Xenopus tropicalis: one gene and its partner. The protein of the gene in region 2 interacts with the protein of the main gene of each other region in a pairwise test. Links are inferred from orthologs where the notes say so. Each region holds a gene or a part of one and is shown on either strand. Other genes may lie near its edges. The genes, in order: c7orf31 and klhl40.

What was found.
Region 1: the proteins of klhl40 (region 2) and c7orf31 interact in a two-hybrid assay, tested with the Homo sapiens proteins (2 studies listed by BioGRID and IntAct). The two-hybrid records come from large-scale screens. The link is inferred for Xenopus tropicalis from reciprocal best matches to the Homo sapiens genes KLHL40 and SPMIP4.

The regions. Positions count from the first base shown.
Region 1 is NC_030682.2:41,121,899-41,125,719, reverse strand, and holds part of c7orf31 (uncharacterized protein C7orf31 homolog), read right to left. Parts: intron 2,958-3,821; coding exon 2,778-2,957; intron 1,809-2,777; coding exon 1,737-1,808; intron 1-1,736. UniProt on the Homo sapiens protein: Microtubule inner protein (MIP) part of the dynein-decorated doublet microtubules (DMTs) in flagellum axoneme. May serve to reinforce and thus stabilize the microtubule structure in the sperm flagella.
Region 2 is NC_030682.2:9,354,108-9,358,446, forward strand, and holds the start of klhl40 (kelch-like protein 40), read right to left. Parts: upstream 3,022-4,339; 5' UTR 2,980-3,021; coding exon 1,849-2,979; intron 1-1,848. UniProt on the Homo sapiens protein: Substrate-specific adapter of a BCR (BTB-CUL3-RBX1) E3 ubiquitin ligase complex that acts as a key regulator of skeletal muscle development.

The DNA of each region.
Region 1 (3,821 bases), about 32 Mb from region 2:
AGGGCATTGGGCAAGGAATAGCCCCACTTATAAGGATTCTCTAGACAGATCCAAAAGGATATTAAGGACAAATATAAAAAGACTAATGTACAAACAAAGCTGTATTAAAAGGGGCATAAATTAATGGGAGGAGGGGGTTATTCTTCCACTTTACAAAGTGCTGGTAAGGCCCCATCTAGAATATGCATTCAATTTTAGTCTCCAGTGCTCAAACGGGACATTATTGAGTTAGAGAGGGTCCAGAGAAGGGCAACTAAGCTGGTAAAGGTATGGAAAGTCTCAGTTATGAAGAAAGACAAGTTAGGGCTGTTTACACTGAAGAAGAGGCATTTAAGGGGTGATATGATAACTATGTTAAATATTTAAGGGGATCATATAATAATCTCTATAATGCTTTATTTAACAGTAGGTCCTTCCAACTGACACGAGAGCACTGACTCTGTTTAGAAGAAAGGAGGCTCCAACTAAATATTCAGAAAGGATTTTTTAACTGTGAGAGCCTTGAAGTTATGGCATTCTCTCCCTGAATCAGTCGTACTGGCTGATATATTAGATTGGGTTATTGAAAATACCCCCAGGGACCAGTCTACTTGCATCTTGGAGTCAGGAAGGATTTTTTTCCTGTCTGAGGTAAGTTGGAGAGGCTTTAGATGGGGTTTTTTGTCTTCCTCTGGAACAACTAGCATTTTGGCAGGTTATATATAGGCATTACGGTTGAACTTGATGGATGTGTGTCTTTTTTCAACCTAACTTACTATGTTACTACGTTTTTACTACCAGTATATATGTTACAAACACAAGTGCAGCACACTAAAACAGATTGTGTGCACATTAACACCATTCATAAACGGTTTTTGTGCATATACTATGGGCAGAAAGAAGAGGCATGTGTCTAAGCACAATGATGTGGCTCACAGGCTGAGTCACTAACCACTACTGCTAGAATTATTTAAACTTTAGTCTTGAATACAAGAGGTATAGCAAACACATGGTGATGCAGCAGATTTTAACATCTCCATAAACCTGAGGCCATGCCCCTGCAAAAAGTGCAGATGTTCAAAATATTACTAGTTTTGTGAGGAATGGTGTAAGAGCACAGACCGTACTTAAACAAAATGATTGTGGTTGTACAAGTGTAAATATTTAGCAGGCTTGAAACGCAATAATATGAAAGCAAAATATCTTGAAAAAACAGCAAATAGAAATGAACAAGCAATTTAGCACATAAATATCTTTTCTTGCTCTCCTCTTCCTCATCTCTTTGAAGGATGCTTGGCCAGCAGCCCAAGGGGGAACTGAATATGAAGGCTGATCTGAATCTGCTTGGCTCTAGCACTGTGCTAACAGACAGAGCTGCTCTCCAACAACCCAGCACAGCTTTTTATGTTCCCCTCACTCTTTTTATTGGGTCCATTTATTTTACAGTAATCCAATGAATTGCAAAAAAGCAAAGTGGAAGTTAACGCAATTTACTAACTAAAAGTTAACCTCCCCACAAATAATTTCACTTTCATGACCCTTATAAGTTAACACTATAACACTACAAGTTAACAGGGCCAACCTGTTTGACAACTGTTGAGTATTTAAATAAAGTACATGCACAGTAAGTATAAAGATAGATTCTTTAAAGTTATTATAATTATGTTCAGTGTGATCGTACATGCAGGTACATACCATTCACAGGAAAAGTACATTATGAACCAGTGACTGACTCATGGGATGACCTGTTTACTTACAAATCATCGCTGGCACGCACTGCACTCTTTCTCAGCTGGGTTATGTCGTAGTACTGCTCAATTGGAAGCCCTCTGTAAATAGAGACATGGAAATTCTAACAAACACCAGAATAATATGTATGCAGTGACAAGTAAAGGCTGAGCTTGATTTGTTACATCATTACTTACTTACTGGTTATAGTTTTTCCAACCTGCTGTACAGGTAATATTTATGGGGGACCTTTTACAGACACCCTGGAAACAAAGTGCAAGAGCACTAAAGGGAGCAAATGTACGCCCCTAGCGTCTATTCTGAGAACATTTGCGTCCATAGGCTGGGTGCCCTCTGCACCCTGCACCAGTAAAAAATCCAGTGTGAGGGGCGAGGTGCAAGGCGCAGAAACAGCAAGTGCAAGGCAGTGTTCCCAGATGAGTGTTTCTCTGAACCTTACCCATCTGACTTTGGAGAGGACAGTGTAGCTCGCCAACAATAACTTTCTCTTGCACAGCCATGTCATTATGTGACAAAAAGCTAACATATGACCATTTAATAAATGGTGATTATTAAATCATGTGTAAAACTGAGTATTAATTTAAAATAGGGATGCTAATTGCAGGGGCGGGCCAAGCCGACCGGGCGCCCTAGTCAACCTGGTCGGCCACCCACCTGGCGCCCGCCAATAGTTGACCCCTAGGCAGCTGCCTCTTCTGCCTACCCCTAGTTCCGGCCCTGGCTAATTGTGTAATAACAGTATTTAAGTAATTTATTAGCTAGGTTAAGTCTACTGCTAATACCTCCTGTCTCAGGTACTGATTTAATTTGCAGTGCAAAAGAATGACTATTTCTCTGTATTATTTCTCTTAGTGAAACCCGTGGTACCCGTAATTCTGCAACAGTATTAAATTATATTTGTTTTACACTGGATTAATCTAAGGGGTGTTAATGCTATCTTCACTATAACTGATACTAATGCTTCAAAAGAAGAAAATTTGATTGTTGCGCTTATTTGTTATTATTTGCTGAGCAAATAGGTGGCATTGTGTAATGTTATGTCCATTTACCTTGGCCAGGGGTCTCCCCCATAGCCATAGTGCTTGTGCCCCTTGGCTTCTTGAGGAGGAGGTTCTGCCTTTGGTCTGTGATTGTTCGGAAGGCACACTGGACCTATTCCCCCATATTCTCTTTCTCTTCCCCATGGAAGCCTCGCTGGTGTGCTCAACTTGGAAAGATATTCTTCATAGCTGTAAATCATCATTTCAACAACTTTATTTATATAGTTCAGGTTCTTTTCAACTTGTAACAAAATGTAACAATCTAGGATTCCAGAATAAAATGAATCAGTGGGCCCTGATTACATGATTTTACAATTCAGTTTGAAATATTCATTAAAAAACAGAGGAAGGATTTTTTATTGAGTCCCATTTCATTTAATTATTTCATTAATTACTTAAGGTGGACACTGTAAGCAATATATTATGTATTCTTGTGGATAATAAACTTGTGTGAACAAGCTAGCCAGTCAGCAGTAGTAAGTGCCAGCAAGTTTTGAGCTGTATTAAAAGGTGAATAGATTAAAAAGACTAAAGGATCATCTTTACAAAACACTGGTAAGGCCCCATTATGAATATGAAGCGCAGTTTTGATTTTCAATCATTAAAAATAATTTTAATGAAACAGAGAAAATCCATAGATCAGTAAAGAATACAAAGGGTATGAAAAGTGCTAGTTATGAGGAAAAACTGACCAAATTAGGATTGGGATTAGAAGAAAGGAAATTCCATTTTCATATGTCAGAACATGGAACGTGGAAGCTGTGGAATTCTCTCTCTCAGTTGTACTGGCAGATACATTAGATAGCTTTAAGAAGTGGATGGGTGGCTTTTTAGCAAGGCAGGAAATATAGGGCTACTGAAATCAGTTGTTACTACAAGTTGATCAAAGGACTGGTCCGACTGCCATCTTGGAGTCAGGATGGAATTTTTGCCCCCCTTTTGCGGCAAATTAGAGAGGCTTCAGAAGGGTATTTTGCCTACCTCTGGATCGACTAGCAGTTAGGCAGGTTTTGAATAGACATAAAAGGTTGAACTTTGATGGATGTGTGTCTT
Region 2 (4,339 bases):
TGGCAGAAAGGGTACATGGTCAGGCCTGTGTATGGCTGCTTTCATTCATAAGTCAGATCTGTTCCTCTAGCTCCTTGGCCTGGGGGTGAAATTACTGGGCGGTGGGCTTCGGGGGCTAATCAGTAATTTTATCCCTTCTCCAAGACCTGGGTATGGCGTTGTATAGCACCAATGATTTAAATCTGTCTAATGGCAAAGGGTCACTGTTGGCCCCCATCTAATTTACAAACTCCCCCTTTCCCCACTTCTCTGATCATTTATCTGATATTGGTGGTGCAAAATGGAACACTTCTTTAGATACTAGGTGTCTAGTATAGTAGGTATAGTCTGTTCTGGTATAGTAGGGAGAGATGGTGCCTATAGTAGCAGTGGGGGGATAATAGCCTCTGGGAAGGGACTGGGGCTGTGGGATAGCAGGTATAGTAGGGAGAGATGGTGCCTATAGTAGCAGTGGGGGGATAATAGCCTCTGGGAAGGGACTGGGGCTGTGGGATAGCAGGTATAGTAGGGAGAGATGGTGCCTATAGTAGCAGTGGGGGGATAATAGCCTCTGGGAAGGGACTGGGGCTGTGGGATAGCAGGTATAGTAGGGAGAGATGGTGCCTATAGTAGCAGTGGGGGGGATAATAGCTTCTGGGAAGGGACTGGGGCTGTGGGATAGCAGGTATAGTAGGGAGAGATGGTGCCTATAGTAGCAGTGGGGGATAATAGCCTCTGGGAAGGGACTGGGGCTGTGGGATAGCAGGTATAGTAGGGAGAGATGGTGCCCATAGTAGCAGTGGGGGGATAATAGCCTCTGGGAAGGGACTGGGGCTGTGGGATAGCAGGTATAGTAAGGAGAGATGGTGCCTATAGTAGCAGTGGGGGGATAATAGCCTCTGGGAAGGGACTGGGGCTGTGGGATAGCAGGTATAGTAGGGAGAGATGGTGCCTATAGTAGCAGTGGGGGATAATAGCCTCTGGGAAGGGACTGGGGCTGTGGGATAGCAGGTATAGTAGGGAAAGATGGTGCCTATAGTAGCAGTGGGGGGATAATAGCCTCTGGGAAGGGACTGGGGCTGTGGGATAGCAGGTATAGTAGGGAGAGATGGTGCCTATAGTAGCAGTGGGGGGATAATAGCCTCTGGGAAGGGACTGGGGCTGTGGGATAGCAGGTATAGTAGGGAGAGATGGTGCCTATAGTAGCAGTGGGGGGGATAATAGCCTCTGGGAAGGGACTGGGGCTGTGGGATAGCAGGTATAGTAGGGAGAGATGGTGCCTATAGTAACAGTGGGGGGATAATAGCCTCTGGGGAAGGGACTGGGGCTGTGGGATAGCAGGTATAGTAGGGAGAGATGGTGCCTATAGTAACAGTGGGGGGATAATAGCCTCTGGGGAAGGGACTGGGGCTGTGGGATAGCAGGTATAGTAGGGAGAGATGGTGCCTATAGTAGCAGTGGGGGGATAATAGCCTCTGGGAAGGGACTGGGACTGTGGGATAGCAGGTATAGTAGGGAGAGATGGTGCCTATAGTAGCAGTGGGGGGATAATAGCCTCTGGGAAGTCTGCCCAGCACCCAAAGCGGGAGGTAATGCTGTAGGCAATGGGGGGGGGGTGGAACTAGGGATAGGGAAAAGAGGTACAGTATGTCCCTACACCTCCCTCAACCGTTGCACCTAGGCACATACCTCTTCTACTTACCCCTACTTATAGTAACCCTATATTTGGTAGAAACCACATTACTGTTTCACCAGGAGACAAAGCGCAGGCAGTGACCCCCCTTCCCTCTACCCCATGATTATACTGGGGGGGGGTAAATATATACACAATACTCTCCCCCAATCAACACAAATGACTAAAGACCATACCTGCAGGAAGTAAGAGCTCAGTGGGTCGTCCTTGTTTTCCTCATTATAATAAAGGCCGCCAGCTACAAAGAGTTGGTTCTCCTTAGTGGCCAGGCTGACGTGGTTTTTGGGGATCTGGGCGGAGAGTGAGGCGAAGAAGCATTCGTTAGCGCTTGGGTCGTAGGCCACCGCCCCAGTGTCGCTGATCATGAATATCATATCCTTTAGAAACATGCCGAACCTGAGCGTGTCGTTCAGAATTCCAGGAAGGGCTTCTTCCTCTTCCTCCAAGTCCCCGTTGACTACGCCTTCCCCATCTTTGCCCTCACTCGCTTTTGAAGGGGTTTTCTTTACGGCCGCAGGTAATTTTCCTTCTTGGGCGTCTTTGACCATCTGGAGTTTCTTCAAGAGTTCCTTGTCGGACTTGACCAACTCGTGCTTCTCCACCTTGTTCTTTATATAGTCTTGGGGTATAAGGCGGAAGCGAATGCTCTCAAAGATGATGGGCAACGCCTTGGCGCGTTTTTCTTTCTCTTTCAACGCCCATTTCAGGACCACCTCAAAGACTTCTTCTTCCTTCTCAATGTTGAGGGAGTCGCTGGAGATAACGGCAATCAGCTCATCGGGGGAAAGGTCGTAGAACTCTTCGTCTCTGGCAATCAGGTGGAATCGGTCGCATACAAAGTCCCTGGCGGAGACGGCCAGACGGGGACAATCCAACAGCAAGCCCAGGCGGAATATGGCCAGACAGTTGCTAAGGCAGAGCTTCTTCTGGAGGAAAGACACACACACTGTGAATATCGAGGGGATCTGGAACATGTTGGCCACCGAGAATATGTCCTGGACGTTCTTCTCTGTGATCTCGATCTCAGAAGTGTAGATATAATGGAGGATCTTCCCCATCACGTCTGGATCGACATCTTCTAGGTCAATTTCCTTCTTCTTGCCCTCCTCCAGGTTGGAAAGGAACATGGCTCGGAAGTAAGGGCTACAGGCGGCCAGCACCAGGCGGTGGCAGGGAAACTCCTTGCCCTGGATCTTTAGAACACAGTCTATAAAGTTGTCGTGGTCCAGCATGTCCTTGAGTCCATCTTGGAGCAGAGTTTGCTGGTAGAGGCGCAACTCATCAGCCTGCTGGGTCGGTAAGGCCATGGCTTGGTTCTCCTTTGCCCTCAGAGCTCGGGCAGCGTCGGAGTTACAGCAAAGAGTGAATGAATCAGAAGGGAAGGAGGAATTTCTTTTCCTGTTGGAAGCCTCCTGCTTATCCAGCTGACTTTGCTCTTCAGCTGCGAGTCTTTATATAGAACAGCCCCATTACAAAGCCCCTGTAAGACGATCACTCTCTGACACATTGAGCTCCCTGGTGGGACAGCTGCCCCGGGCCGACTAGAAGCACCAGGAATTTGCGCCGGATCGTGACTCATCACCCCCATGGACCTTTTTTTTCTGTCTCCTCGTTACAGAGAAGCCTCTGACGGCTTTTCCAGGGAAACGATTCACAGCATTCGGACCAATGTAATGAGCCAAAAACTGCCCATGATGGCCACATTGACAGAAATAGGCATACTGTCACCTTGCGCTGCAAGTTGGAGTGATATCCCCCCCCCCTCACCCCCAGCAGCCGATCAGCAGAACAATGGGAAGGGAGCAAGATAGCAGCTCCCAGTAGGTATCAGAATAGCACTCAATAGTAAGAAATCCAAGTCCGGCTTGGGACTCCTCCAGTTACACGGGAGTAGGAGAAACAATAGGTTAGCTGAAAGCAGTTCTAATGTGTAGCGCTGGCTCCTTCTGAAAGCTCAGACTCAGGCACACTTTACTGCTGCGCTGCAAGTTGGAGTGATATCCCCCCCCCCTCACCCCCAGCAGCCGATCAGCAGAACAATGGGAAGGGGGCAAGATAGCAGCTCCCAGTAGGTATCAGAATAGCACTCAATAGTAAGAAATCCAAGTCCGGCTTGGGACTCCTCCAGTTACATGGGAGTAGGAGAAACAATAGGTTAGCTGAAAGCAGTTCTAATGGGTAGCGCTGGCTGAAAGCTCAGACTCAGGCACAAGGCACTGAGATGGCGCCTACACACCAATATTACAGCTACAAATACATTTATTGGTTGAAGAATAAAAGGTTAAATGGCAGAGGGAATTATTTGCTGTGTAACAGTGTCATTTAGAGATAGCAGAGGGGGCGGGGCTCCTGTATCAGGACTCTCTGTACCAATTGTGTGAGTGCTGCTAATCCGGCTGGGAGTTAGAGTCCTGTTAGAGCGCTGGCAGATAGTGAGGCAGTGATGTGGGGGCTATAATTAATGCCGGCTATGGCCGTCGGTATGTACAGCTGCTGGCTAAAAATAGGAGCTCAGTAAGGGCCCTGCAGTTTAAAATTCTTGCCATGAATCAAACTACCCCAGGGCGGGGCCCTTCCGGCCCTGTAATCATTCTAACGCTCTGATTGGATACAGGTTGGTCTAGCCCTGGGATCATTCTAACGCTCTGATTGGATACAGGTTGGTCT